Linked DNA regions of Alligator mississippiensis. The protein of the gene in region 1 purifies or fractionates together with the protein of each later gene. This does not show direct contact. Links are inferred from orthologs where the notes say so. Each region holds a gene or a part of one and is shown in the gene's direction. Other genes may lie near its edges.

What was found. Proteins that work in one complex are often made in the same cells at the same time.
Region 2: the proteins of SQSTM1 (region 1) and NIPSNAP2 purify together in Homo sapiens (affinity purification with mass spectrometry; 4 studies listed by BioGRID and IntAct, with this or other methods). This does not show direct contact. The link is inferred for Alligator mississippiensis from reciprocal best matches to the Homo sapiens genes SQSTM1 and NIPSNAP2.
Region 3: the proteins of SQSTM1 (region 1) and TRIB3 purify together in Homo sapiens (affinity purification with western blotting; 3 studies listed by BioGRID). This does not show direct contact. The link is inferred for Alligator mississippiensis from reciprocal best matches to the Homo sapiens genes SQSTM1 and TRIB3.
Region 4: the proteins of SQSTM1 (region 1) and BAG3 purify together in Homo sapiens (affinity purification with western blotting; 3 studies listed by BioGRID and IntAct, with this or other methods). This does not show direct contact. The link is inferred for Alligator mississippiensis from reciprocal best matches to the Homo sapiens genes SQSTM1 and BAG3.

What each region holds. Positions count from the first base shown.
Region 1 is NC_081832.1:74,668,157-74,675,487, forward strand, and holds the start of SQSTM1 (sequestosome-1), read left to right. Parts: upstream 1-4,313; 5' UTR 4,314-4,400; coding exon 4,401-4,596; intron 4,597-4,707; coding exon 4,708-4,803; intron 4,804-5,808; coding exon 5,809-6,026; intron 6,027-6,181; coding exon 6,182-6,338; intron 6,339-6,624; coding exon 6,625-6,714; intron 6,715-7,256; coding exon 7,257-7,331. UniProt on the Homo sapiens protein: Molecular adapter required for selective macroautophagy (aggrephagy) by acting as a bridge between polyubiquitinated proteins and autophagosomes.
Region 2 is NC_081837.1:10,248,829-10,256,359, reverse strand, and holds the start of NIPSNAP2 (protein NipSnap homolog 2), read left to right. Parts: upstream 1-4,513; 5' UTR 4,514-4,720; coding exon 4,721-4,797; intron 4,798-7,137; coding exon 7,138-7,277; intron 7,278-7,360; coding exon 7,361-7,406; intron 7,407-7,531. UniProt on the Homo sapiens protein: Protein involved in mitophagy by facilitating recruitment of the autophagy machinery required for clearance of damaged mitochondria.
Region 3 is NC_081832.1:1,754,598-1,762,543, forward strand, and holds the start of TRIB3 (tribbles homolog 3), read left to right. Parts: upstream 1-4,928; 5' UTR 4,929-5,027; intron 5,028-6,073; 5' UTR 6,074-6,085; coding exon 6,086-6,358; intron 6,359-6,618; coding exon 6,619-6,911; intron 6,912-7,144; coding exon 7,145-7,601; 3' UTR 7,602-7,946. UniProt on the Homo sapiens protein: Inactive protein kinase which acts as a regulator of the integrated stress response (ISR), a process for adaptation to various stress. Inhibits the transcriptional activity of DDIT3/CHOP and is involved in DDIT3/CHOP-dependent cell death during ER stress.
Region 4 is NC_081829.1:87,292,509-87,299,547, reverse strand, and holds the start of BAG3 (BAG family molecular chaperone regulator 3), read left to right. Parts: upstream 1-4,021; 5' UTR 4,022-4,092; coding exon 4,093-4,269; intron 4,270-7,039. UniProt on the Homo sapiens protein: Co-chaperone and adapter protein that connects different classes of molecular chaperones including heat shock proteins 70 (HSP70s), e.g. HSPA1A/HSP70 or HSPA8/HSC70, and small heat shock proteins (sHSPs), e.g. HSPB8.

The sequences.
Region 1 (7,331 bases):
GAGAAAGGAAAGTGCTCATGGGATATAGGTGAGTCAGAACAATGAAGTAGGCAAAAAGCAGGGGCCCTTTGAGGGGGTTGTGGATGACAAACAGGGCCAGCTTGCTTTTGTTGCAATATTTTAATTAGGAAGGAGCAGGACGCCATCAACAGCAAACCTAGCATGACTCAGCACACAGCAGGCAGGAGCGGGGAAACCCCGCATGGTTTCTGGTCCCCTTCCCTGCTCACTCCTGTTCAAGTTCTCACTGCTCACATTTTGAAGCTTTTCACTACGTGCCCCTCCCGATCTTGGTGGGTGCGTAAAGGAGTCAGGGGCAAAAGTGTTCAGGGCATCTGTGGAACGTGAGAGAAAGCCTCCAGCCCCTAAACCAAGGGCAGGCAATTATTTTGGGTGGAGGCCCGCTTACTGAGTTTCGGCAAGCCATCGAGGGCTGCATGACGGGCAGCCAGGGGCAGATAAATATTAATTTTCTAAATTTTTTAGGGGCCCCGCGGGCCAGATAGAATGGCCTGGTGGGCCGCATCTGGCCACCGGGGCCACATTTTGCCCACCCCTGCCCTAAACAAATCTGCAGGGAACAAGCACCCTCTCTGCACCACCTGGCTAAAGGTTAGTAATAGCCCAAAACAGTTGATGTTGGAGGGCAGTTTGGTGCCTGTAAAAAAACCTGGATGTTTTAAGACCATTTCCTAGCAGATAAGAGCCCAGTTTACAACTGGCCCCTTACACAGCCTCAGGATAGCGGCAAAAGAAGGAAGATACATGCAGAAGGAACTAGAGTGACCTTGTCAGGGAGACCTGGGCAGAGAGGCCCGTGCTATCCATGCTGCCTCTATGCTATGGATAAATAGAAGACAAGTCTATTAGCCATGACAAGCCAGCAATTTTCATCAGTCCCAAATTTGACAGAGGGGAAAAATGGAAAGACTGACGAACTTGTCCCTACTTCCCCCCCACAGTGTTTTCAATGTCTAGCGCTGTTAGCACCGTACATGTGTTTACAAACCTGGCCAAAGGTTCAATGACAAACATCCCACCATTTTCCTGCTCATGTGTTTAAACATTAACTCATTGCTTCAAGTGGGATCATGGACGTAAACCAGTAATATCAGCCAACGTAGGCTACTTTAAACAAAAAGCAAGTCATTCAGACTACTCTAAAAATAAATATTCTTCAGCTAAAAATATGGCATTGGGATTTGAAAATGACAGCTTTTATTTTCAAACACTAAATTGATTTACCTGGAAAGCGGATATATTTTGCAGTCTGAAAAGACATTTTTAAATATTTCCCCATCTAAAAGACAGAGCGAGAGAGATCAGATCTTTTAATTTAAAAAACCATTTAATTAATGACAAGGCCTCTCAAGCTTCTCCATTATCACAGGTTAAGAATGATATCACTAAAATTCAGGGCAGTGGGCCTCCAAAATGAAAGGAAATTAACATTGACCTGATACTAATTGATTTGTCTTTATGTAATTTTACTTGGAAGGTACAGACAGCATCTTCTGCCAGCTGGACTCTTGTCTGACCAGATTAAGAATCCTGTCAACTGTGTCTGATCTGAGAATAGTGCTGCCAACAATCCTGGAAAGTCCCCAAAACGTCATCCTTAATGTCACTGATGTTTATGCTAGCATCTATTTTTAAACCTCCAAATTCAGGCTCAGGAGAGATTGTTAGCTAAGGAATTATTCTAAGCTCATGTAGCATACAAGCCGGCAGGGGATGCTGGATACATGGTTGGATTGCTAACCCACCCTAAAGTTTGCAGTGCCATGTCTTTGCAAGCGTTACCCTATGTAGTGAGATGAAAGCTAATGCCAGTGTACCAGCACTATAATAACATCTGTTTGCCACGTAGACATACCCTTGGAAAGCGTGTATTAAACAAATGGAGAGGTCTTGTTAATTAACATACTCATCTTTTGGATTTCATAAAGCAGACTGGATTTTGGAGGCCCTCCCAACCAGCCGTCCTGACTAATATTGCCTTGTGACCTGATGGGAGCAGTGTAACCGTGTCAGTGCTAAAGGATGCTGGATGCTGTGCTTACGGCAGAACGGAGGTACAGATGTGACCATCTCTGTGACAAGGGCCCTGGGGTATCGTGCTGTAGCACAGCACTCGTGTCTCCATGCTGGAGGCTTGTGGCTGCCGTGTTGCTAAAAAAAAGACGTATCAATAATAGACTCAGTCCTCGGTGTAGGAGGCTCCTGGACGAGGGACAGATGTTGCTGCATTCCACTAATGGGGCTTAATGTTGCTGACAAGCCCCGGATAGCAGAACCGACTGCCAGCTGCTGGAGAGTGCTGCAGACTTGATAAGTCACTCCCAGGTGAAGTGAATCATATTTCCATAACACGAAGTGCTGGAAACAAGTATGTCAACAGTCACGCCTACACGGCCCTGTCTTGTGGTAGAGCTGTCTGTGGACAGCAAACACCCTTGCTTTTTTTCTTCTTCTTTTTTCTAAACACTCAAACCTATGAATTCTTCCATGCTAACGGGTTGGGTTTTTCTCAGTATGCAGGGAAATGGGACATGGAGTGAAGAAGTCCTTTAAGAGCAGGATTAAGCCAACAGGAAGCTGCTGGCCTTCACTGGAGAGAGGAAAAATAATTTGGGAGCTGGAAGGAAAGAGAGGAAGAAAGAGGGGAGGAAAACAGAGTGGTGAACACACAAGGGAGTGCCGGGATGAAAAGGCAGCGGGAGGCAGAGCATATGAACGCTGTGCTCAGTCCTGGTTTCCAAGTCTTGCAAGCTGCTGCAGGATGCAGAGGGGCTGGGGGAGGGGCAGGATCCAGCACACGGCAGCCCCTGCCAGGGCGGATCCAGGGGCGCACCGCTGCACCTGCACCCCTTTCACTTCTGCTCCACCCAAAGTTTCAAACCAAGTACCTGGCCGTGGCACCAGCATTTCTAGTCCGGCAGTTGTCTTCATGGCTCCTTGTCACCTACCTGATCCCTTCCGAACTCTCCAGTCCTCAGGCCTTAACGACCCCTCTCCCCTTCCCAGTGCCCTCATGAACCAGCTATCTGCCCTGCTCCCCGGCACCCAGCTTTGACCTTGCAGCCCCGCAGGCTGGCTTTTAACACCTGCCAGGGCCCTTCCCCTTGCTCCAGCACAGCCCTTGAACTCCAGATTGATTCTGAACGGGACATAAGTGAGGGCCGCGTGGGGCGGCGAGGCAGGAGACAAGAACGGGACACAAGTGGGGACCGCGTGGGGCAGCGAGGCAGGAGACAAGAACGGGACACAAGTGGGGGCCGCGTGGGGCGGCGAGGCAGGAGACAACGGGACACAAGTGGGGGCCGCGTGGGGCGGCGAGGCAGGAGACAACGGGACACAAGTGGGGACCGCGTGGGACGGCGAGGCAGGAGACAACGGGACACAAGTGGGGGCCACGTGGGGCGGCGAGGCAAGAGACAAGAATGGGACACAAGTGGGGGCCGCGTGGGGCGGCGAGGCAGGAGACAACGGGACACAAGTGGGGGCCACGTGGGGCGGCGAGGCAAGAGACAAGAATGGGACACAAGTGGGGGCCACGTGGCGCGGCAAGGCAGGAGACAACGGGACACAAGTGGGGGCCACGTGGGGCGGTGAGGCAGGAGACAACGGGACACAAGTGGGGGCCACGTGGGGCGGCGAGGCAAGAGACAAGAACGGGACACAAGTGGGGGCCACGTGGGGCGGCGAGGCAAGAGACAAGAACGGGACACAAGTGGGGGCCACGTGGGGCGGCGAGGCAAGAGACAAGAATGGGACACAAGTGGGGGCCGCGTGGGGCGGCGAGGCAGGAGACAACGGGACACAAGTGGGGGCCGTTTGCCCCTCACCCTGTGCGCCCCTTTGGCGAAATTCTCCAGCTGCCCCCAGCACCGGCATGAGGCGTAGGGTGGCCATTGTAGAGGACAGTCCGGTTGCCTTCTGCTGATGTGAATCTGTCCGCCTGTATGCACTGGGAGGTGTGGAGGGGCACGTGCCCCCCCCAGAGAGGCTCTGCCCGTGCTGGCAGTGGTGCCCGCGGGCAGATGGTGACTGCTCCACCATGGCCGGGGCACGCGCGGCCCGTGCCTTTGTGCGCTGTTTCCCTGTCGCAGAGCCCCGGCCCCGGCCCCGGCCCCGGCCCCGGCCCCCCGCGCCCAGGCTGGGACCCGGCGAAGCCACCCCGCCCGGCCGCTCCCCGCTACTGCCCCCGGGCGGGCGGGCGGTGCGGGGGCTGGCCCGAGGGGGCGTGGCCGCGCAGGCCCCGCCCCCGGCGCTATAAGGCGGCGCGGCGGCGGCCTGCCCGCAGTGTGCGCTGCTCGCGGCCGGCTCGGGGCGGGTGGTTACAGTCGGTGCTGCGGGGCCTTGTTGCTGCGCCACAGGCGGAGGCGGAGTTGGAGGCGATGGCGGCGGCGGCGGCGGCGGCGGCGGTGACGGTGAAGGCCTACCTGCTGGGCAAGGAGGAGGCGGTGCGCGAGATCCGGCGCCTGGCCCTGCGCCCCCCGCTGCGCTACCAGCCGCTGCGCGACCGCCTGGCCGAGCTCTTCCCCGTGCTGCTGCGGCCCGGCGCCGGCGCGGCCTGCCGCCTGCACTACCGCGGTGCGTGAGTGACCCCTCGCGCCGGGCCGGGCCGGGCCGGGGAGGGCCGGGGGCCCGGGCGGAGGGGCCTGGCCGCCCGCGGGGGTCGCTCACTGGGTTTCTCTCTCGCAGATGAGGACGGGGACATGATCGCCTTCTCCAGCGACGAGGAGCTGGAGCTGGCCTGGCCCTACGTGAAGGACGGCATCTTCCGCGTCTACATTAAAGGTAACTTCTTTTTCCCCCCCTCTTCTCGAGAGAAGCCTGGAAACATAGGGCGTGTCGTGGGCGCGCCGGATGCAGCCGGACCCCGACTCAGTCAGCGCGGGGCTGCCCATGTGCCTCCTCTTCCCGCGAACAACTGCCGGGCGACGGTGGATCCAGACGCTTGGCAGGTGTCGTGGCTGTGGAGGCTGCAGCCTCCGGGCACGGCTCGGTGGGGCTGGACGGTAGATCTAGCGCGGCGATTTGAGACGCGCGGGAGCCTCAAAGGGGGAGCGAGACTTGCCTCTTTCGGGAGGGAACAAATACCTCGCCAGGGGAAAGCAGTGTCATTTGGAAATGTGAAGCCCCAAAAACTTTTTGGGCCCCTTAAGTCCAGAAAACTGAAAAAAAGAAACAAAACCGAGTTTAGCTTTCTGCAAAAGTAAATGGAGAACCTCCTCCCAGTTGAGCGCTGTCTTCAAACTATGGTTAATAATAATACTGATTATTATTTCATGTTTCTCTGGATAATAATATAACTCTGATGTTCACCTATTTCAGAGAGAGAAACCTTGGGGGCACGTAATCTGCTAAAATTAGATTGTTTAGCAGTGCTAGAAACTAGCAATACAAGTAATACCCATACAAGCTAGCGGGGCAAGGGCAGCTTCTTCCTCAGTGCAGCGTGGACCGTGTCCAGTGACACAATCCTGTCCAAAAAAGTGTCTCCACAAGGAGGATGTACGCTTTCTTGACTTAGTCTTTCTGGCTTTGTTTCATGTTGCCCTCTTCAGCGTTGCGTTTCTTCCCCAGCTCTGTGCTTGCTGCTGGCTGGTCCCCAGATACCCGAGCATTGTTGAGGGCGTGCGTAATGCAAATGACCCATAAGCTGGCATCGTGGACACATTCGGCTCGTGTGGTCCGTGTACTAATGAACTCCAAATGTAGAAAGCTTTGCTGAGTCTTGTTTCCTAAAGGCTTAAAATAACCTGGCAGCTTCCTTGTAACGTAGAAACTCTCACTCTTTAGAGAAAAAGGAGTGCAGGCGTGAACATCGCCCACAGTGCAGCCAGGAGCAGCCCCCAAATGTGGTGCATCCCAACGTCATCTGCGATGGCTGCGAGGGACCGGTGGTGGGCGCTAGGTTCAAGTGCACTGTCTGTCCAGACTATGACCTGTGCAGCACCTGTGAGGGAAAAGGCCTCCATAAGGAGCACAACATGGTCATGTTCCAGAGTCCGTTTGAGGTGAGCAGTGTTTCTGCTGTGGAGAGGGACTGGTGCAGGGGGTGTCCAGAGGAGTTTGCAATTCCAGATACTGCATGTAGTTGCATGCTGTTGTGTGACTTGTGTCCAGGATGTAATCCAAGTATGGGGTCAAATGACACTGCAACTTCTTTCAGTGGTTCCCACGAGGTCGCTGGCTACGTAAGATGAGGCACGGTGCTCCTCCCTTTGCCTGGATGCATAGCTGGGGGTATCCAACTCCTTCAGCTCCGTGCCAGAACTCTGGGCAGGAGCAAGCCAGTACGGCACCGGAAAATCCAGCCCCTGAGCAAGGTAAGAAGGGAATGCTCTGCTGAATGAAGTGCTCGGACTAGTAAAGGTTTGATAAGTTGTTGCTGCTGTGGAGTGGGCTGGAGTCTGTGTTGGATGGGAGTGGGGAGGAAGCGCTAGGTCTCCATTTCGAATGCAAACCTGCTTGAATTGCACTTCCCTTGGATGGTGGGTGGAATGGGTTGTCTAAGCCTGCCAAGACCCGGCTTTTTCATTCCCTTGAGGAAAGTGTGCGTTTGGCACCTACCTGCTGTCTTGCATTAACAGAAGTTGTTTTTTTTGTTTTTAGAGCCCTCTACTAACAGCCAGCCTCAGGACCCCAATGTCACCTTCCTAAAGAATGTCGGGGAGAGTGTTGCAGCCTTTCTGAGTCCCCTGGGTAAGTGACTTTTTTTAACTCGCAGTTCTCAAATCCAGTGTTGGGGCTTGCTCCTATCTTGTACCAAGAGGAACAGTGGCATGCCTCTGCTCTAGAAGACATCCGAGCCATTTCTGGCTCCAGTCTCCCCATAAGGACCCAAGGGTGTCCTTTCTTGCAGAAGTATACTACACAGTGGTAAAATGATAGCATTTAACTGGGAAGAACCTTGAGCTAACTAGGTGACTTAAGGCTGCATCTAACTCCTGTGTTAGTGCATGTAACAGCTGCTTGCTCATCCTTTTAAATGAGAATGGAGAGCAGCTTTTTCCTGGCACAGGAATGGCTGGCATGTGCTTCACTTAACATAAAAGCACACTGAAAGCTTTCTTTTTTAAATTTTTAAATCCCCTGCAGATGAGAAATGTCAAACAAAATGATAACTTGCTGTTTGAGTTCAGAATAACTAGATTCCAATGAATGTGCTATCTTTCAGGGGACTTCCAAGTCTGTAGCTTGTATGCTAACTTACTGATTGCTTTTCCCTCTGCCTGGTTTCTTAGGCATTGAGGTAGATATTGATGTGGAACACGGAGGACAAAGAAGCAAAGTGACCCCCACCTGCCCTAGCTCCAAGA
Region 2 (7,531 bases), on another chromosome or scaffold:
ATTATTAAAGTTTTTAGAAGGAAGTGTAGAAAGCTTAAAGCTAGCCATGTGTGTGCCCTTTTTCCCTTTAAAAGAAGTAATACCAGTTATGTCACTATGCCTGTGTTATACCTTCAGAAATCCACTTATAAAATAAGTGACAATTGTCTTCATTTAAACTGCGTATTTTTTCTGGTTCACCACGCTGAAGTTGGCTGCTTTATTATTAGACATACTTGTGGAAAGGATCCCATAGAGAATTTGCCAAGCTATGCCACTGTTTCATTGTAAGTTTATGCTAAGTCCAACCCAGCACTGGTTGAAGTCAGTGAAGTTTTGTTACAGTACAATAAAAGCCACATTTCAAGGAAAAATTAGTTCTTTATAATTCAGCTAACTTCCAAAAACAAAGGGAAAGTGGATATGTATTTAACACCGATAAACTGCAAGATATATCCCTTTAAGCTGCCAATAAGTATCCGGCTCCTGACAGACAAGTTACAAAGTACACACACACAAGAAAATGTTGTGAATGCAGTGCTGCAAATGAAATTAGAGATGTTTAGAGTCTTAATCTTCTAATAAGAAAAGCTAATTAAGGTGCCAAATCCTGCTAAGAGATACAGGGATTGATACTCTGAAAGCTGTAATGCAGAAAGTTCAGTCTGTGGCGACTGGAGATTAAAGCTGACTTTGTGCTGCTGGAATTCCAGGCTGCCTGGAGACCTGAGCACCCCTTGGCAGGTGATAGAGCAGGGCTGTAGGGCTCTGCTGCTGTGATTAATAGCAATTTCTATGCTGAAAGCGCAGGGACACTCTCTTCCAGGACCTAGACTTAAGGCTTGCAGGCTGCATGTGTTGGTCCTATGTTGATGCCATAGGAAGAACATACCAGAAAAGGAATCTTCCTCTATATAGGTGCATAGATTTTCCTGTGTATATCCTGCCATAGATTTTTATTTGCAGCCCAAATAGGAGTATCGTGTCACTTGTGCCTACTTCAGCCTTACTCTATGGAGTTTAAAAGCCGCCCTCTAATTTATATGCCTTCCAATTAGTCCTTCATTCCTGCCCTACTAGGGCTTGCTCTGTAATTAAAAGCTTTGTCTCCCAAGGTTGCAGTGTGCCCAGTGCTGCACACTAGCTGTTCCGTAGCCGAAGAGGGATTATGCCTTTGTAGGTCTAGCCCTTTGTTTTAGTGTCCTTTGCCTTCGTTAAAAATGCCTGAAATCCAAACAAAACAGTTTATAGTTTACGTGAAACAAAACATTTTTGACAGGAAGTGACTATTTTTATTTGCCTCCAGAAAGCTGAAAAATGTTTGGGGTTCACCCAAAATTTTTTTTGTAATGATCTTTTTCAGTCTAGCAGACAAACCAGAAAATCAAGTGAACTGTAGAGCTGTGACTTCAGGCTGTTGGAGATTTAGCCTGGTGGTTCATTCTGTTCAGATCTAAATACGATAGTAACCCACAAACAATCTGAGGCAAGCTATTTTTAATAAAAAATAACTGTAATACTTATCAATAACGACCAAAGCTGCAACACCATGCTTTCGCATTTCATTGATACTGAAGGACACTGCATGCACATTTCTGGATGCGTCTTCACACAGTTTACAGTAATATCTAATCATTATGCACCCAGGAAAGTGAAACTCTTTATTTCACATTTAAAGTAAAAGTTAAGTGACTTGGGTTGCTGTGAACAAAAATTAAACTCATAGCAAGTCAAATTTTTCCATACCATTGGGCATTCAGGAGTAGCTATTAGGTGATGAAAATAACTCTTAGCCTCACTTAAATATCAGTGAGCACAGCTACAGAATAGTTATCTTAGCAAAAATGTTGCAGTGCTGTATATCGTTCTGATCTGATGTTGGTATAGTTTTCATTCACTAGTGAATTTGTCTTTCTGTATTTTCTTTCTGTACTTTACCAAGTGGCATTGATTCGGTCAGAACAAGGTCAGTTGACATCCTTGCTATTTGGAGGTCTTTTCCCTGGTCTGGAAAAATACCCAGCAAATAGATCTTTTACTGAAGCTCCTGTTGGCTGATAAACCAAAGGAAAGAACGGTCATGGGGACAGACCTGTGTATTCGTATCTTACCACTGCTGTTTCCAAAACGCATCTTTATGAGAACTAGTTTTTGTATAATTGATATCTACTGTCTACACATTCATTCATGTGCCATAATTATGCAGAAACAGATACTAACAATGCACCATAATCACTGCAACTGCGCATTAGCGTAGAGGAACACTTTTTAGGTGATGCTTAATGCGTATTGGATTAATCTGCACATTAGCATGGATTTTGCCAGCTGCGCTAACGCACAGTAGAATTAGTCTACCGGGCATTAAGCATCTTGTGTAGACGCACCTACTAGGGACTATGTGATGCTATTTATAATATAATCTTAAAATCCAGCTATTACTTCAAGGTAGTAATTTCTCATCTAGGTTTCTGTGTGTTTTTAGAGTTCTGCCCTTAAAAAGAAAACTTAGTTAAGAAAAAAAAAAGTCTTCTAAAAATGTTAGTCTCTCTTTTTTAAGGTTATTTTAAGAGGTAATGCTACTTCACACTGCGCGGGGTCTGGGTCAATTGAAGCCCTAGTGCTACTGCAAGAGGTGAAGGAAGAAAACATTACACCTTCTGCGGAGGGTGACTTCTCTTTCCTGAGGAAGGCTGCATCAAGCAACCCAGCCCTTGTTTTTTACTTGAAAAGCATTGAAGCCTTGAAGCTTATCTCTTTACACACACGTTGCGCAGGGTTTTGACCTAGACGTATTTCCCAGACTCCTGCCAAGTTGCTTCTTCCCAGCCCCAATGGCAGCAGGCGTACGCGTACGCAGACATTTGCACCAGCAAAGCAGTGCTGGCTGGTGCCTGGCAGTGCCCAACATTTGCTGGTGTTTTGCCCGTGACTCTTTCCCGGGTCTGATCCGTGGGAGACAGGCAGCCCCTAGCTCCCTGCTTCCGCAGTCTGTCGTGCAGGGCGATGAAACCTCTGGCGTTGGCACAGAGGCGATGCTGCATGGCTGTGGGGGGTGGGGGGGGGGTTGCTTTTTTCTTAGTCCCTTTGCGGGGCGGAGCCTGGCTGCCCACCGCGTGCTCCTCCAGCCTGGCCGGGGGGAGAGCTGGGGGCGGGGCCGGGGGCGGGGCTCCCCCTGCGGCCGCCCGGAAGCGGGGGGCGGGGCGGAAGCCGGAGCAAGATGGCGGCCCGAGTGCTGCTGCAGCCGAGCCTGGGGGCGGCCGGGCCTCGCGGCCTGGCCCTCAGGTGAGCGCGCCGCGCCCCGCGCGGGTGGGGATGGCGGGGGTGGGAGGAGCTGGTTTATTCCCCGCGTCGGCTCCCGGGCCCACCCCGCTCGCGGGGGGGGGTGTTTATTTCTCCTCGGCAGGAGCGGGTCTGACGGGCCCTGCAGGGCCTGGGGGCGCCGCTGGAGACGCGGGTGCTCATCGCGGAGGTCAGCCTGAAGCTCCCTTACGATCGGGCGGGGCGGGGCGGGAAGCGAGGGTCTGCTGGGGACTGAGTCGTGGTGCGCTGGGGTTGCGCTGGTGCGAAGTAGGGTGGCCATCGCGGAGGACGGTCCGGTTGTCCTCTGTTGATATGAAACCCGATGCCTTTATGTCCTCTATTTGTGTCTCCAAGACATAAGGCCGGGACTTGGGGTACGACTTGGGATGCTAGGCTGGGACCATTGGTACGAAACCCGATGCCTTTGCATCCTCTATTTTTATTTTCAAGAGAAAAACAGAGGACATAAAGGCATCGGGTTTTGTATGGATAGAGGACAGAGTAGTAGGAAACCGGGATGCCCCCGGCAAGAAGATGGGACCAGGTGACCCAGTGACCTCTTTCGTAGCAGCGAGCTACGGGATCCTGTTCTCCCCGTTGTGCCGAGCTAGGCGATGCCTTCCAAAAACCGCACCGATTGAATGTGACCTGCAAATTCACTCTGTACTAATTAGGGACACTTTGATCTAATTCCAGAAATGACATTTGGCAGCAGACGTTTCCTCCTTTAGAAGAGCGTTATTGTTCGGTTACACGAGGTTAAAGTTCAGATACTCTGTATGCTTTTTATTTTCTCTGCTTCTGTACTGTAACTCCAGAATCGGATTGATCTTTAAACTGGAATTTTGTTTATAATCCTATTATGTGCCTTATAATATTTCTGTTAGAGGAAATTAAAGCTGTTATTTTGTTAATGCAGATAATTGTGTTCACCTTTTCCCCCAACAAATTTTAAAAGGAGTTGTGGGTTAAATAGCCTTTTGCATCTGTTTTTCTGCCCAAACACAAGCACTTCAAAACAGTGGGAAACTCCTGATACCCCCTGGGGTGGAATTTATCTTGTAGTGTAAACATTTAGTTTTATCTGAAGGTAACTGCATTTATTCTAGAATAAGACATTGTCTTCCAGAACTATGGAACTACGCTACAAAATGTATTTTATTTTTTTTGAGCGTGCGTGTTTAAAAAGACATGATTTATCAGAAGATGTGTTGATTAAAAAATCAGTCCTTAACTGTCTCAAACTGCACCCATTTTCAGAAATGTCAGTGTTGCCAATCTCTGCTGGATGGGAATAACAACAGCAACAAAACAACAATAATAATGCCTTGTTTCTAAAGCACTTTCCAGTTCTTGGTTGAAAGATTCAGTGCAGCTCTAAAACATTACTCATTTGACCATTTCATTGAAAAACTGAGAAAACTGCCTCCACCCCCACCAAATGACTGTCCTAAGCTTCTGGCCACATCAAACCACAAATTCTGTGAATAGTGGTAAAGTTCATATACAGATAAGGAGGTAAACATGCTTGCTGAGCACTTTCATTTTCACTGTTTTACCAATATTATTACCCATTCCTCACAACACCTTCCATGAAAGATAAATACTCATTAACCTTAACTATGAGAGAGGGTTTTTTGGGGAGGGAATAAAGCAGGGTGGTTAAATGACTCCCCCCAAAATAGCAAAGGAAGTGCTTCAGGGGTGGGATCACAACTCATGGATGCCCTGTGAGCCTTTGCAGTGCGTATGGGGACAGAGAAGAGTACAGAACGAATGCATGTCTTCCAGCCCTCCGTGCCCTAGCAGTATTTCTGGTACAAGACACCCTTTTAAATATTTACTTTTAGGAAAGCTGTATAACTTCTACACAATAGAGTGTTTGTTTCTTTGGCTACAGTGAAAAAAAATTAATGCAGTCTCCAGTAAGTGGAGCACTGAGAGGTTTTTACTCACTTCTTTATGTTGAAGGTCACCTCGCTCCCAGTTGTTCTTTCCCTTGCCATCACGTGTTTTTTGCTTCCTCAAAAGCAAATGCCCAAATCTAGTCTGTATAAGTGAACTGCAAAGCATGTTAAAATAAATTCCTTTACTCTTGCTCTAAGATGCAGAAAGCCTACTGGCTCAAAGATTTTATGAAAGAAATTTATTTTTCCAATTTCTTTTTCCTTAATGATTTTCACTGCCTTTTGAGAACCTGAAAGACAGTAATTCATTTAGACCCGGGGCAGGCAGTAATTTTGGGTGTGGGGCTGCATACTGAGTTTTGGCAAGCCATCGAGAGCTGCATGACAGGCAGGGGCAGATAAATATTAATTTTCTAAATTTTTTAGGAGCCCCGCGGGCTGGATAGAATGGTCTGGCGGATCACATCCAGCCCGCGGGCCGCATTTTGCCCACCCCTGATTTAGAGGAACTCCCTGATAGGTCTCCCAGGCATTGATTAGAAGCAGGAGAGTTGTCCTCTGAGGCTGGAGGAATCAGTTGAGGTTTAACCCTCCGGTTGTGATGTCTCTTAAGCATTCCAAACTTGCCAGAATTATTTAGGGAAAAGGGAAGAGTGAGGAACAAAATACTTCTAATGGTGACAAGGAGGAAAAGTACAGTATAAAGAATCAGCATAAGATGAATGCTTTTTATTGTTTGCTTTTCACTTTCAATGCAAGCTCATTACTATTGTTGTGAACTGAACTAATGAATCACATCTGGTAGCTGAGGTGGCCTTCTGCCAATTAGAAAAGAAAAAGTCCCTCTAGTGTACTCAGAGCATGATTACCTGTTATGTTTTTATTGTTTGTTGTTGTAATAAAGTCATAAATAGCTAATTTGAGTGTATCAATTCTGTGAGCACTCAAACATGCTATTCAAGCTTTCATCCATCAAAGTCAGTGCAGTTGTTCCAGAGCAAGAAAAATTGTAAACTGAGCAAAGACAGTGAATCTGTATTCTGATCATTAGAACTGCTCTTACTCTGAATTAAAATCTATGCAGGCTTCAGGGCCCCTGCCACTCTTTAAGTCATTTCCAAATTAGCTTCTCTGGGGCGGTGCATTAGTTTGTCTTTTGCAAAAATTTATTTTATAAAATGCCATAACACACATGGTGTTTTTGCTGTCATTCACAGTGGACAAACCTGTTTATGCATACTGCCTTCTCTGCACCTCCTTTTTCCTGTTGATTATGGGTTTCTTGAAAGACCTAGGCAGGCAAGGTTCTTTGAGTAGAGGTGATATCTTTTATTAGACCAACTGAGTAGTTGGAAAAAAAATGTTGGCAAGCTTTCAGGCACAACAGTCACCCTTCATCAGGCATAGGGAGTCTCTCCTGTTCTGAGACTCCAAGAAATGAAAGACCTCCACATTGTGCTTGAGCAAAGACAGAGTAGCCTTAGTTTTCTCTCTTGGCACGGCTATGATCAGTGTAGGAACAGGCAGGGTTTTATGCCACATATTGTCTTGAGACCTGATATAAACTAGAACAGCTCCAGGATACTAAATGTGTGTCTGACTGTAGTAGTCCATGGGCCCGTTGCATCAACTAAGAACGGCTCTAGCACAGCAGCACTTCACCCACAGCTTGCTGTGCTCCTGCTTCCTCTGCATGCAAGGGGTGTAAGAGGGGCAGTGTTAGGCCAGGTAGAGCAGTTCTGGGCCATCCAGGGATGTCTTTACAGTAAGGATGTGCTTTGTTGAGTACACATGCACCTGTTGCATTGCTAGAGATTAGATAATAGAAAAAATTAGCACCATACCTTTGTATAAGATACAATGTGACTGATTTAAACTTATCTCAGCTGTTTTCAACAATCCTCACATTTTGAATGAACACTCAGTGACTGCATATTCCATTAATGTGTAGGGGACTGGTATCCTCAACTAACAGAGCCGGTGAAGACAGCTGGTTAAAATCACTGTTTGTTCGCAAAGTTGATCCCCGGAAAGATGCTCACTCCAATCTTCTAGCCAAAAAGGAGACCAGCAGTCTGTATAAAATACAATGTGAGTGATGTTTTCATATTTAACAGTTTATTTTCTTTATTCCTTTCCTGTATTTTTCATTGACTTTTTTGGGTTTTTTTCAGTTCACAATGTAAAGCCAGAATGCTTAGAAGCCTACAACAAGCTTTGGTAAGTGTGCATGTTATTCACTGTGATTTTGGACATATTAATTTGTTCTGGGGGAGAGCACTGAAAGCTGGCTGGTCTGGGTTGGCTTTGTTATGAGAAAGTGGAAACCCCTGTTCTTACTTTTT
Region 3 (7,946 bases), about 73 Mb from region 1:
TGAGCTTGGGGGCCAGAGCTGGGGTGCAGGGGGGCAGCCCCCCCCCAGCAGGTCGCATGTCTGTGCCCTCTCCACGCCTACCCCCTCCCTGTAGTTGTACACGTGTGGCACATGGCGCCATGCCAGGCCCCGCTTCCTGGTGCCAGAAGGATCCTGTCCCACGAGCCCCTCGGCAGGCTGGGCCAGGCAGGTAGCCAGGGCATTGCATAACCGCCGGGGAGGCCGTGTGTTGCAACGCTGCAGGCGATTGCACAATGCATCCAGCACTCCTGCCCTCCCAGGGATGGGGGGCAGCCGGAGGTGAGGGGCTGCATGCCCTGCACCCCCCCCAGTGACTGGCTGCAGCTCTGCCTTGCTCCAGCCTGCCCAAGAGCTGGTCAGGCCATTGCCCCGCGGGGATGCATGCCCTGGTGCAGACACCAGCACACCGAGGCAGGTCAGCAGCCTGGCACCTGCAAGGGTCCCAGTGTCCCCACCATGCCAGGCCTAAGAGTGCAGCCCCCTGCCCACTGGCAGCCTTGGTGCGTGCGGGGAGCTGGGCTTGGCCCCGGGAGGGGTGGCTGTGGCTGCATGGAGCCCAGGGCGAGCATCTGACCCCAGGGCCGTGGGAAAGGGGCTGGCCCTAGGGCTGCACTAGGAAGTGGAGGCTGGAAGTTGGTGGGTGCCAGGGGGGGAGCGTGGTAAGCAGCCAGATCCCGGCATGGGGAAAGGGGCCTTCCTGCTGCAGGGAGGAACACGCTCGCAGGCCTAGCTGCAGCCAGCTCCCAGGGTAGAGAGCGGGGGCTGCTCCCCAGGAGAGCTCAGCCCCAGCCTTCTCCTGTCTCAGCCCCACGCTGCAGCCCCAAATGCTGCTAAGGCTGCCGGGGAGCCCCTGCAAGAGCCGGCAGCAAGGCAGTGGTGGGGGGTCTCAGCAGAGCTGTCTGCATGAGTCCGGGCTGGCCTGTCTGCCCTTCAGCTTCCTCGCCCATTGCAGGGCCAGGCGCTGCCCCCTCTCCTCCTTGGTGCAGCAGGATGTGGGGGGCATGCGGGGCACGGCCTGGCCGACCACGCTGGTGCACTCCAGCTGCTCCTTGCATAGCCCCTTCTGATGCAATGTGCATACCTCTGGCAGGCAGCGGGATAAGGGGCAGCTGGAGGGGGCATCTCAGCACCCCGGGTTTACAAGGACAGGACGGGAGAGGAGCAGGGGACTGAGGGGCGGGCGTCTGGGACCAAGTGCAACGGCGCAGGGAACAGGTGTCAAACCGGCTTCAAGGCCTGTAGGACTCCAGAGTCTGCATCCCAGCCCGTCCAGCCACCCTCTTCTGTGCCAGGTGTGTTGGCATGGAAAGGCCACGGCCATGCCCACTGCTTGTGCTTGCCAGGGCACGGCTGGGAGATGCATTTCCGTGCCTGGCACAGCAGTACCCGGGCTGCTTGCCAGCCAGGTGACATGCAGGGTGGAGCTGGGGTGGGCAGGAACAGAGGTCTCTCCACAGTGGCACGGCGGCCCCTTCCCCAGCCTGCTCTTCCAGGACAGGCTGGGCCTGCTTATTACACACTTGCACACGCAGAGGTCACGCGGGGGCGCACATGCTTCCCATGCCATGCACCATGCTGGGGCAGCTTGGCTCCTTCCCATGCCCGGGTGCCAGGAGCACAAGCAGGGTGCGGTGCACACAGACGGTGCCACCCCGGGGCTCACCCAGGCACAGGGAGCTCTGCTCTGAAGCATGAGGCTAGGGGCAGAAGAAGGGGACCCGGTGCCGGGCCCTGCAAACCCTCGTCTCTGCTCTGCAGCCAGCGGGGACGGAGCATGAAGTGTGGAGTCCCGTGCCAGGCAAAGCTCCCACAGCCCGTGCCCGGGCACAGCTCCCTCTGACACCAGCTGGGGCATTGTCTGAGCCCAGAGCGATGGCAAAGCTTGTCACCCAGGTACTGCCTTTGTGCCTGTGCCCGCCTCCCCTGGGCGAACACAAAAGCAGCAGGACAAAGCCTGGGCTGGCAAAGCCCACGTGGACTGGACACCCTCCCTGGGGAGCTGGCACAGAGCGGGGCAGCCTCAGAGCCCCGGCCGCGGAGAACAGGCTGTTTGCACCAGAAGGATCTGCGTGGCCTGTCCCTCGCACAGCCCAGGCTGGCTCCCTCCTGCTCCCCAGGAGACGGCAGCCCACTGCCAGTCTGTCGGGGTCTGGGCATGAGTCAAAGGCAGCGCCTGGCCTGGCTGCTCCCTCTCCTTCCTTCAGCCCCGTCTGCTCTGCAGACACCAGGGGCCAATGATGCACCAGACCCGGGGCAAGGACAGGCTCCAGCATCCCCCCAGCCCAAGCGCTGCTGGCTGGACCCCAGCTCTGCAGGGAGCCTGGTCTCTAGGATGAGCCCAACTCAGCCCTGGGCACCTCGGTGGCAGCATCAGGGGCTGGCTGCTCCACGGCCGGGTCAGGGCAGTACCCCGCATCTAGGCTCGCCGAGATGCACTGACAGCCCGGGCGGTGAGCTTCTACCCCCACCAGCATGCGCAGTGCAGCTGGGGCCCAGGCACCCCTGGGAGCTGCAAGCTTGACCTGGCACAGTCCAGAGCCAGAAGGGCATGGTCTCCTGGCCTGGCACCAGCAGCAAGAGCCGGGGGAGAGCAGGCTGAGAGCAGGAGGAGACGGGCACAGGCAGGCAGGGCAGGGGAGTGGAGCACCACTTCCCCGGAAGCAGACGGGGCCGGACTTCCCGGGGCGAAGAGGCCACCTCCAGCTGTGGCTGCAGCTGCCTCTGCATCACCGCTGGGAGCAGGGGTTTCCCAGCTGCACCCACGCCTTCCCGAAACAGCAAAGGGAAGGGAGGAAGCACGGCTCCGGGCAGGAGAGAGGAAGACTCATTCTCCTTCCTGCCCCGGCCCACAGACCCCTGCCCCTTGTAAGACCAGCATCTCCAGCAGCTGCGCTTCACCAGAGCCCGGTGTGGGCACGCTGCGGAGGGGGCGGCCAGCTCACCGGACCTGGTCGCAGTGGCTGCGATTGCATCTGGAGTGATGCCATAGGAAGGAGCACACGGCTGCCCTCCTCTGCTGCCAGGGGGAGGATGGAGCAGTGTGAGCTGCCCCCTGACCCCTGCTGTGCCCCACACCCGTGCCCAGCCTCTGCCCAGGACAGTTCCCAGCACTGCGCCGTGGTTTTGCAGAAGGAAGCTGGAGCCGGCTCACCCCTGCTTCACTTGCCGGGAAGAAGTGGCCTGCTGCAGCCTGCCCTGGGATTTCCCTTTCTTTGGCAAACCCTGCCCCTGCCAGGGCCTGTTCTGGGAAACCCACGGCTCTGCCCACAGGGCCACAGGGCTCCAGGACCCATAGGGCAGAGCCAACTGGAAGCAGTGGGGACTTCAGCCACCTGTGATGGGTCTCAGTCCTAGCCAGCCGGGCACCCCAAATGCCAGCCCCATATGGGGTTGCATGGTGCATCCTGGTGCATCTCCGCTCCAGGCAGAAGGGACATGGAGGTGGCACGGGGTAGCCCTGGGCTCAGCGGTGCCAGCTCTAGTCATGGCCCCAGAGCCCTGGGGTGGCTTCCAGTGGGGGCAAATGGGATGCAGACACAGCAGCCTGTTTCCTCCGGGTGGGATGAGCCAGCAGGTTTCCGGGTGCTGGGCTGGCTGGTGGAGACACCAAGGGTGGGAAAGTGCACGAGCATGGAGAGTGGCCCCGTGTCTCAGTTTCCGTAGCCGGACACAGGGCTGGAAACAGCTCTCTGCACCCCCACACCCCACATTTAACTACACGCTTCCCCGCAGCCCTGACAGCCCCCCGGTGCTGCTCCCCCAGGGCCGGGGCTTTGCACAACGCCCCCCACGGCTGTGCCGAGATAAGAGCTCAGCCCACACAAGCCCGCAGCCTGTGTCGGACTTGCAGCGATAAGGGCTGGAAACCCGCCAGGCGCAAGGCGCGCAGGGGCCGAGCGGGGCCGGGAAGGAAGGGCGGCGCTCACGGGGACAGGGGGCGGCTGGGCCCACGGGGGAGCTGGGGTCTTTATCAGCAGGCAGCAGCTGGGGCGGGGGGCGTCAGAGAGACCAGCACCGAGCCAAGGGCTGGCATGGGCCCAGGCACCACAGTGATGGGCACAGTGCTGCAGGAAGGCCCGGGTCCCCCCAAATCCCCAGCAACGGGGGTCTGGAGGGGACCTTGGCCTCCACAATCACCGCAGTACGGCCCCTCCTATGGAGCAGGGCAGCTGCCTCCAGGCCCAGTGGCCAGCCCCTGCCCGGCTCGCGCCCCGTGGGCGGTCGACGTGCTTCCAACACGAGGTCAAAGTCAAGGCACTGCTGAGTGCTGCCAGCCCAGGCGGCGGTGGCCTTGGCTCTGGGGCCGTGCCATCGTCTGCCAAATCCTTGGGGACAGGGCGCTGTGCTGTCTCTGGGCACACGCGGACTTGGAAAGGGCTGTGGAGCAAGTCAGGGAAGCAGCCAGACACCAGGCGAAGGAAGGCAGGGCAAAGGGAAGCCTGTGAGCCCCACATGGACAGCTGCTTTCGCTGCCCGCCACATCCATCCCAGGCGCCCGGGCAGCGGAAGGGGTGAAGAAAGCTCCGGAGACAGGTTGTGAGGGGTAGGGAAATAACCGAGGAGAGCGTGACCCCGTAAAAACCCAGCCCGGCTTCCAGCAGCCGGACGCCGCAAGCCAGGGGAGGGTCCGGCCGGCCGGTCGGCCCTGCGCGCACGCCGGGCTCAGCCGGGCACGGCGCGGGGACAGCGCTAGCGACGGGGACGGAGGAGGCTGCCTGCCCGGACCTGCAGCTGCGCCCGACCCGGCACCCCCGGGCTAACCCCGAGCGGGGCCCGGGGGCGCCGCAGCAAGGGCCGGCGGGGCGGGCCTGGCAGCCCCCGCGGGGGCCGAGCGGCGAGCCGGCCGGGCTGGTGCAACGGGCCGCGGGGGTGTCGCAAGACACGGGGCGGGGCGGGGCGGGGCGGCGCGGGGCGGGGCGGGCGGTGCAAGCGCCGCCGCTTCGGGCATCAGCCTCCCGAGGAGCTCCGGCACTCGGCTCCGGCGCGGGACGCAGAGGTGCGGAGCGGTGCGGGGCCGGGCGGGACGGAGCGGTGCGGGTTGTGCGGGGCGGTGCGGGACGGGGCGGGGCCCGGGCACGCGAACTCGCTCCCGGAGCGTGAGCCACACATCCATGCACACACACACGTGCGGCCCCCCCCCCCCCCCCCCGCACCATGAGAGCCACAGACACGCGCACCCCATGAGTGGGAGCCACACAGATACCCGCAGACGTACACTCGCACACCGTGAGAGAGGCACGCACCTATGCACACATACACAGGCAAATGCACCAGGAGTGTGAGCTACAGGTGCCCATGCGCACACACACACACACACACACACACACACACACACACACACACCCCATGAGTGGGAGAGCCACGCCCCCCTCACGTGCACACACACATACACACACCATGAGTGAGCACCGCAAGCATGGTCATGGTGACACGCATGCCAGCGGGGTGAGGCACAGCCGGTCTCCAGGGGCACACAGACCATGATGACACCCCCCCAGCACTGGGACACCCCCACGTGCAGCCCATGATGACACACACACGTGTGCAGTCATGGCAACACACATGCCAGCCAGCTGACACGCACCTCTGCCTCACACAGTATGACCTCGTACCCAGAGGCACACCGAGCATGAGGTCACACGCACACACCAACACATGCAAACACCGCGTCATGGTGATCCAGGCAGACCTGCCCCATCCCACCCCAGGCTGTGATTATACCATGACATCAAATGGCACCAACACACGCTCACCACCTGACACGCGTGCTCCCATGGTGGTGACAGGCGCTCCCCTTCCCCAGGGGGAGAGGCGGGGGTCCTTCCCTGGGCTGTAGCAACCCAAGACAATCAGGACCAGCTGCCCTCGGTGCCCAGGTCTGCCTGGCCAGGCTGATTGCGCTGAAAGAGCAGCCTGGGGCTGTCTGCATGGGCCGTGGGTGCAGGGGGGCGGAGGGCTGGGAGCAGGGCCCCTCGGGAGGCTCTGCCCGTCCCACCCAGCCTCGTCATGGCCAGCTGCCAAGTGTGACCCTGTGCCACCCTCGCCCGCACAGACGAGCGTGACCATGCTGAAGATCCTCGGCACAGCTCCACTCGGCAAGAAGCGGCTGGACTCGGGAGAGGCCCCGGATGCCAAGAGCCCCGAAGCCAAGCGCCCGCGCCTGGGCCCACTGCTAGGATTTGTGCCCTGCCTACAACCTCTGGCCCCATCTCCCAGCACCGAGGAGCATGATGCGAGGGTCCTGCAGATCGGGCCGTACGTCCTGCTGGAGCCCAGGGACGGGGGCCGCTCCTACCGCGCCGTGCACCGGCCCACGGAGGCCGAGTACAGCTGCAAGGTACGGAGGTCCGAGAGGGCTCTGGAGCTCGGGTCACGCATGCATTGGCGCTTCCCGTGGACTGGCTCTGCCAGGGGGGTGTACCGGGGGCAGTGACCCTGCATGGCCCGGGGTTTGCAGGCCTCTCCACCCCTGGCTGCATGTGGAGCCTCCCTGCTTGGCCTGGGCGAGAACTGGACTTCCCTAGGAGGATGGGGCAGGGAAGGCAGCTGAGCCCACCCTGCTCCTGGCGCCTTCATGCCCACCCTCGCTGCCCCCAGGTCTACCCGATGAGGAGCTACCAGGAGGCGATGGCCCCATACGGACGGCTCCCGCCGCACCCCAGCGTGGCCCGGGTGGCCGAGGTGATCCAGGGGGACCGCAGCGCCTACATCTTCTTCCCACCTGGCCATGGCGACATGCACAGCCACCTGCGGCGCTGCAAGCGCCTGCCCGAGGCCGAGGCCGCCGCGCTCTTCCGGCAGATGGCGGAGGCCGTGGCCCACTGCCACCAGCACGGCATCGTCCTGCGGGACCTCAAGCTCCGCAAGTTCGTCTTTGCCGACCGGGAGAGGTGAGGCGGGGCGGGTCCGGGGCGTGGGTGCTGCTGGGCCTGGGGGGAGGCTCAATGCACCTCTCCAGCCGGGCACAGGCTGCGGGGTGCCGGGGGCACAGCGAACATCAGACCTGCCATCGACTGGTCCTTGCCCGGGGGACACAATGTTGTCCAGGTGCCCGGGCTCCTGGCGCCTGCCCGGCCGCGGCGGGGGCTCTGGCCGTGCTGACCCTGGTCGCTAACACCCGCAGGACCAGGCTGGTGCTGGAGAGCCTGGAGGACGCGTGTGTCCTGAGCGGCCCCGATGACGCCCTGTCGGACAAGCATGGCTGCCCGGCCTACGTGGGCCCCGAGATCCTCCACACCAGGCCGCGGTACTCGGGGAAGGCGGCCGACGTGTGGAGCCTGGGCGTGGTGCTGTACACCATGCTGGTGGGGCGCTACCCCTTCCAGGAGGCCGAGCCCACCCTGCTCTTCAGCAAGATCCGCCACGGCGCCTTCGCCATCCCCGGCGGCCTCTCGCCCCGCGCCCGGTGCCTCATCCGCTGCCTGCTGCGCAAGGCCCCGGCGGAGCGGCTCAGCACCCCAGGCATCCTGCTGCACCCCTGGCTCGCCGGCGGCGGGGGTGCCACCCAGGAGCCCTGCTCCGGCCCCTCCTGGAGGCAGGGGCTGGACCAAGTGGTGCCGAACGTCGGGCAGGAGGGATGAGGAGGAGCAGGAGGAAGACCTGTACAGCTGAGCCTCTGGAAAGCCCTCAGGACGTGCTAGCCAAGTGAGAGGGGCAGGGGATGGCTTCTGGGCCCCAGCTTGCACCAGGGGCGCCTGCAGCTCAGGCTCGATCCTGGCCGGGTGCCCGGCCAACACTCACGCCCACGTGCCTTAGACCTGGGGACCAGCCACATCCACGCCCAGACCCGGGTCGTCCCCACGCCTGCCCGTCAGGAAGCTGCCCACACTTTCCACACCTCGGACTCAGGGAGGACGGGGTTACTGTGATGACACCCCCGCCCCGAGTGCCCCGCTTGTACCTACGTGTGCCAAAGAACTGTCTGC
Region 4 (7,039 bases), on another chromosome or scaffold:
ACTATATGCTCAACTACAAAACAGGACATCAGTCCCAACATTTTGCCTTCTGCTTACATTATAACAAGCATTAGTTATCTGCATATCTGTTAAGTGCATAAGCTGATTACTCTTAAGTGCACAAGAACAGACACACTGTCTAGTTCAGTGGTCACCAACCTGGGGATCCTGATTTACAGGTACATCTCAAAACCTCTTTTGATAAATCCTTGGCTGGGGGGCAGCTGGGCATGTGCGCACGTGCACACCCACTGCCCCCAGCTTCAGCAGGGCAATATGTGGGGTAGGGAAGGGGCAGGAGCCAGATTGAGCCCCCATGGTAAGCAGCTGACCGTGCGGCCCAGCCAGGAGCAGGGGAAGATAAGTGGGGCCCCAGCCCGGCTGGGTGGTGGGAGGATTGGAGCCTGTGGGGGGTCCTCTAAGGGCACGGGGGGGGGGAGGGACTCCCACCCATTTCTTCAGGGGCGGAGGTGGCAGAGGCTGCCATCACTGTGCCTTGAGCCCTGCTGCAAGGTGGCCACATGTGAGTGCAGCTCAGCTCAGCTCAGCAGCGGGGACTCACATGGGGGTGGCCCTAGTCCAGCTGGGTCTGGGAAGATCTGGTCATTCGGAGGGGGTGTGTGGGGGGGGCTCCCATCGCTGGGCACAGCTTAGCGGAGGCCCTGGGGGCCCATGCCTCTCCCCCACCTGTGCTCGGGGTGCAGCGGGCAGCCCACAGCAGCAGCCGCCTCATCCCAAGCACAGGTGGGGGAGGCATGGGCCCTTGGGGCCTCTGACAGGCTGTGCCCAGCAGCAGGAGCCCCTCCCCACATGCTCCTGGACCACGGAGACTTCCAGACCCAGCCGGGCCAGGTCTCGATGCCACATTCCTCTGGCTGCCAGACGGGTGCAGCTCAGTGCAGACGCAGCACAGAAGTGGGATCGGACCCTGACCCAGCAGGGTCTGGGACACTCTGTGGTCCAGCGATGCATGGGGCAGGGTGGGCGTGTGGTAGATCCTGGGGTGCCCTTTAGTTCCAAAAAGTGATCTTCACCGCAAAAAGCTTGGAGACCACCGGTCTAGTCGGTAAGGCAGCAGTGTCAAAGACGTGGCCCGCAGCGTTCTACCTTCCAGCCTGCGGTACTGCCTGTGGGTGTTAGACCGGCTTGAGGTGGGCTGCCCTGCCCCTGCAGGTGCTAGCCCCAGCCCTGTGCACTGCATGAGGTCCACAGTCAGTCAGAGAATGTGTCACTTATGGTACAAGTGACTTGGTCACTCTGGATTGGCCCCGAGTGCCGGATCTGATGCATGGGGCTGCTCTGTAAGCCTGACCTGGCTTGTGGAGTAGCCCTGCACACCTCATCCAGCCCACAGGGCCAGATGAGTTTGACATGTGCAATAAGGTAACCATACTGCCTTTCACTGCATATATAACGAGGACCCATCAAATGTGAAGGCTTCTAAGGCAGCCAGTCCTGAACTGACAAGGCTCCAGCAATTTCAAGACTGCTACTAAAAGCATAAGTAGGGCTGGACTGTTGTAGCTGTGATAGGAGAAATATGGGCAAAGCAAAATTATTTATGATTATATCTTTTATTGAACCAAGTTAATAAAAGGTATGACCAAAAAACCTGTGTTTGTTGCATTAGAGGAATAAGGCGCTCTGAGAAACAAGGTACCAAGTCATAAAGAGGTGTGAAAAGATTAGCCCCTGCTGTTATTGTACCTAGTGAGTATTGGTTGAGCTTGGATAAATATATGCTCTCAGTTACTGTGTGGGGTTTTTTTTTCCATCCTGAGGTTACACACTTAAATGGAGCACAGGTGGACAGGATGAACTGACATGGAAAAATTACACATTTTACAAGCTAAAAGTTGTGAACCAATCTGTGGGATCTAAGGAAGGGATCATAGAGTGACTGCCTAAAATGTTAAGCATTGGATATACTTATTGAGATATGAGATCTCAAGCTGAACATCATCCACCCTTCTTCCTAATAGAAACCCTAGCCACAAACCTGGAGCCACAAACCCAGTCAAACTAGGGCTGGATATTTGGCTGGTCAAATAAAGTGCACTCAATTTACTGGTCACATATTGGTCAAAAATTGTAAAACAATTGCCAATAGGTCCAAATAATACACAGGAAAAAATTCATTAAGAAATGTCTCAAAAAATTGTATTTCTGTCAAGAAAACCAAAAAAAGTGTTTTTTGTAAAATTGCTTTAATGTTTGACTGGTCAAAAAATATGCAGTCAGTTGACAATATTTGACTGGCTTGTCAATCCTAAATCAACTAGATCATAGTCTTCAAACAGGTGCGTCTGTATCCACAGAGCCATGGACCATAACAAGCCCCTGGAACATGAGACTGTAACTTGGGAGGAAGGCTTACAGAAACCCTCCTGTAAATCGGTGGATCCAATTAGGGCTAACGACTTCCAGTTACCATGGTTATTATGTATTTGTATTTCCACATCAGTTGGGAGCCCCAGTTATGTACCAGGATCCCTTGTGCTTTGTATTTATAGGTAAGTGTGCTTTGTACTTACTATTAGAAGGAGTAGAGGAAAAAAAAGAATAATATTCCTCTAATGATATAACATAGCCTTATGGAGTGAAAACAGGAATTAAAGCCTTAGAGGCAGGTTCTGCCACTTATGTTATTTTCATCTTCAGTCCTTTAGGTTTTGGTACTGATGGTATTAGATACAGCAGAGAAGACAGATCTAGCCAATTATTCAACAAACACCCTGATATGATAAGGTTGTCAGATGTAAATGCAATTTTAGCAGATCAAGTCAGGATCAATAAGAGCATGGGCAGGACAATCTGCAAAGAAATCTTGGATGGAAAAGATTCTGATGCCAACTGCAATGATACCAATGTGGGGATGCCAGTCACCCATGTAGGATGCGGGACTGAGTTAAAAAATGTGCTTCTCCAGACTCATATGCATCATAACACTATAACACAACTTTGAAGACCCTGATCTAAGTGTACCAGCATGATGAGTCTTTGCCTTTTTTGTGACTAGTACTGGGGACAGGGCTCAGTGTCGAATGATGCCTGATCTTTTCTGTCTCAAGCAACAGGTGCCAGGGCCCAGGAAGGCTGACAAGTAGGAAGCCACTTAGCAGCCGGCCTGTCCTCTCCAGGTCTCTTCTCTCCTTTAGGCCGGCGGCATGTCAAGACTCCAGTTTCGCAGAGCTGGATTTTGCAGGCACACCAAGCTCAGACCAGGCACCTAGCGCATCACAGGCCTCCCAGGCCTGCGCTCACAAACCCCCCTACCCAACTGACTGAAGCTATTCTGGGAGATTTTTTTGGCCAACGTCGTTAATTGTACTCATGAACGCCACGTGCCCCCGGAGGCTGGGGGGCCCGGCAAGCTCCCGCAGGTGGCGGCGGTGCTTTTCATGGTTTCATAACTAGGGTCAGGAGGGGCCTGAACAGATCATCTAGCCTGACCCCTCCACGGGCAGGAATGAACGCTGGGCTCACAACACCCCAGACAGGCGATCATCCAACCTCCTCTTGAATTTGCCCAAGGTAGGGGCGAGGACCACCTCCCTGGGAAGTTTTGGTGGCGGTGGCAAGCGTGGGGGGTGGCACAGCGACCACCCGCAGGCCAGTAACAATCGCTGGCAGCGTTGGCACAGGGGCACCGGGCACCTTTTCGCTCAGGGGGTGCACATGCACTCGCCTGCACCCGCTGCACATCGCCAACCATCCTACTGCACGGCTTTCAGATGCATGCCGATCTACCCAGCAAGACAAGTTACACAACCCTGCCTGGCAGAGACCTGGCGGGGGGAGCCATCAGCCGCCGGCTTGTCCCTAAAGCGCAGCCTCCAAAAACAATTGGGGTGGGGGAATGCATTGAAGTTTGAGCGCGGCCGCGCGGCACCGCTGCGGGGCGGGGGGTGGCCGGGCTGGACGCCGCCAGAAGTTTCCAGCCGGGCCGTCTCTCCTCCTCCTTCTCCTCCCCTTCCCCTCCTCCGCCGGCCCCTTTGCGCCGAGCTGCTATTTCCAGACCCTTCCACCCCCTCCCTCCCCGCCCGGCCACATAAAGGCTCCCGGCCGCGGTGCACGGCTCGCACCGCCCGCATGAGCTCCGCCGCCGCTGCCGCCCCGCAGCCTCCCGCGCCGCGCATGGAGGGCAGCGCCGAGCCGCTGCCGCCGGGCTGGGAGATCAAGGTGGACCCGCAGACGGGCTGGCCCTTCTTCGTGGACCACAACAGCCGCACCACCACCTGGACCGACCCGCGCCTGCACGGGCCCCAGGTACCCGGCTCTGCCCTCCGCACTGCGGTGCCCGCCGGCGCCCGCTTGCCCGTGCCGAGTCCCGAGTCCCGAGCGGGTTTAGCCGCCCGTGCAGCGAGAGAAGCGGAGACTTGGCACGGGGTGGGTGGGTTTGTTTCCCCTTGTCCTTCCCCTCCGCCTGGCTGGCTGCGCGGCTGGGCGCTCGCCCCTGCGCTCGCCGCTCCTAATATGTCCATGAGACGAGGAGCCTCCAGAGGGGGAAAGAAACGCGCCTGGGGGGGTTTCTAGGTGTCCTTCCTTGCCAACGGGTCTTTTATTTGTTGTTGCTGCAAGGCAAGTCCCTCTGATGGGAGAAGGCTCTGCCGTGCCAGTGGGGGGTTGCGGGGTTTATGCAGCTGCCAGGAGAGAAGGAGCTGGAAGGAGGTGTTCAGAGACCGGTGACAAAACAGCGGGCGCGTCTCTCTCCCTGTGTTCACCCGGCTTCGTTTTGGGTGCTGATCCCGTAAACTTTAGACTTTTGCAGACATTAGGGCTAGAAGGGACCTCATAAGATCATCCGGTGCGGCCCCGACCTTTGCCCCTTGCCTTTTACTTCTGAACATCCTCTTAAGTAATGATGGTAAAATAGGACTGTCCTGGCATTAATGTCGGTAATGACATTAGTACCGTCTCTGGGACGGGGTAGGACATCGGAGGAAAGGAAGCTCCCAGAGCTGCTTAGGCCTGTGCTGAAAGAAGTTTGGGTGGACGCTTTGGAGCCGCACATTTGGCCGGCAGCCTGAAGGCCTGATTGCTTCAGCTGCCAGGGAAGGTTCCTGACGCTTTGGAAACTAGTTGGAACTTCCAGCTGTTGTCTCAAAATGGTGCGGCACTAGCAGGACGAGGCCTGGAAGCGAGCAGGCTGCTGCCGGGTAGTGAAACATTTGGATCATCATGACATGTGCAAACTATTCTGGCGGTCACTGCTGCTTGGCTGTTTTATCAGGGCCATGGTAAGACTTAGGGCCTCTTTACTGAAAAAGGATTGTTGCCTGGGTTGACACATAAACAGAACCCATTTAAAGCATCTTAGGTTTTTTTTAAATTATATTTGGAAGAGGCCTGGAATGTAATCTGATAAACTAGCCTGTAGAAAGCGAATTTCTTTAGTAACTTTTTTTTTTTTTTTTTTGTATTTGTAGTCTTTCATAATGTAGTTTGAAGTAATAAATACAACAGATGAACACGGCATTTTAAATAATGGAGTAAAGCTAGCTTTTTCCTACCGTTTTGAAAATGTAGATCCAAGAACCCAACAGAAAAGGAATATGGTGCTAGACAGAAGTCAGAGGAAATTATAGTCCTTTTTTCAGTGTTAAGTGACTTCTAACCCCACTGGTATAAATGAAATGACATGGTTCAGAGCCAGCGGGAGGGGAGGGGTTGTGTGTGTTTTGTTTTCGCTGCTTTTTTTTTTTGTAATCTAAAATTTTATTGAATGCGGCAGTTCTACCCCCCAAAAAAATTCATTGCTATCTTTATTTTTGAAAGTTTTCTTTTTCAAAGACATATTGATAAGTATTGTTTAACGTCAAAACAATTGTTTTTTTACACCAGTGTAAAGATATCATAGAAAAATATAGTTCAATAATACTGTTAATATTAAATTAAAAAAAATAGAAATAGTTTTAACTTACCTTCATTCAGAATGCCCTCCTACTGTACAATGTGACCCCACACTGGCACTGCTGCGAGGCATGTAATAAATATTTTAAGTTTTGCGCAGTTTTCAATTGTTTTACAGTTAGAGTGCCTTATTTAATGACTTATGTCCTAAACATGTTATCCCTTGGGAAACTAAAAGGAAAAAGTCTGTATTTCAGCTGTTTTTGATCATGCAGAAACAGGACAGTCTTGAACCAAGGTAGTGGATCAGTGTTCTTCATCTGTGATTGAAACCTAATACGTTCTCAGCCCTATTTTATCTTGGCACCTGGGATAATGAAAAATGACACCTTTCCTGCAATGTTTCAAGGATGCTGTTACAAATAGTAGTTTAGGAAAAGGAAAAACTGTATCTTCACTGAGAAAGATACAAACGGGTAATTGCACCTGCCTCTGAGGAGCAGTTATGAAATGACCAGGTTTTCCAATTTGGAAAATAATTATCTATATTTCACAAACTGTAATTTGTATGCTATGGGTTGTTCATCCTGACACAGGATAGTGCTTTCAAACAAGAAAAGGGGAAGCTGTTGATCTTGAATGCTGTTCTCTTATGGGCAAAACGACAACTTCAACTGATATTAATACATCTTTTGCTTATATAATGTTCTGATACAGGCCTTGATTTGGGTCCATTTCTAAATCTTTGCTTCCATTTAGTTTAGGAGTATTCCACAGTAAGGTACTACTTTGCTTTGAAAAGGTCTCAGAATTTGACCTCAAGAAAATATTTTTTTGTTTTCTGAAGTGTGTGCGTGAGTAAAAGTATCATCCAAAAAAATAATGATTAATCTTTACTTTCACACTCAACTCTACGCACAGACTTTCTGGAGCCACATTTTAATTATGAGCCTTATCATAGTGAATGAAAGGAACCAGATCAGTTGTACAGGCAGGAAGAGAACACTTTTCAGAGTGTCTTCTAGTGGTTTCTTGATATCTAGGATTAACTGAAGACTGTAGAACTGAGATGCTTGCTGTTTGCCCTGCTATAATACAATTAATCCTAAAAGGACAACATGTTAATATTTCAGTGATGCTTTATCATTTTGATAAGTTCTTAAAAGCAGTTAATAAAAACATTGAT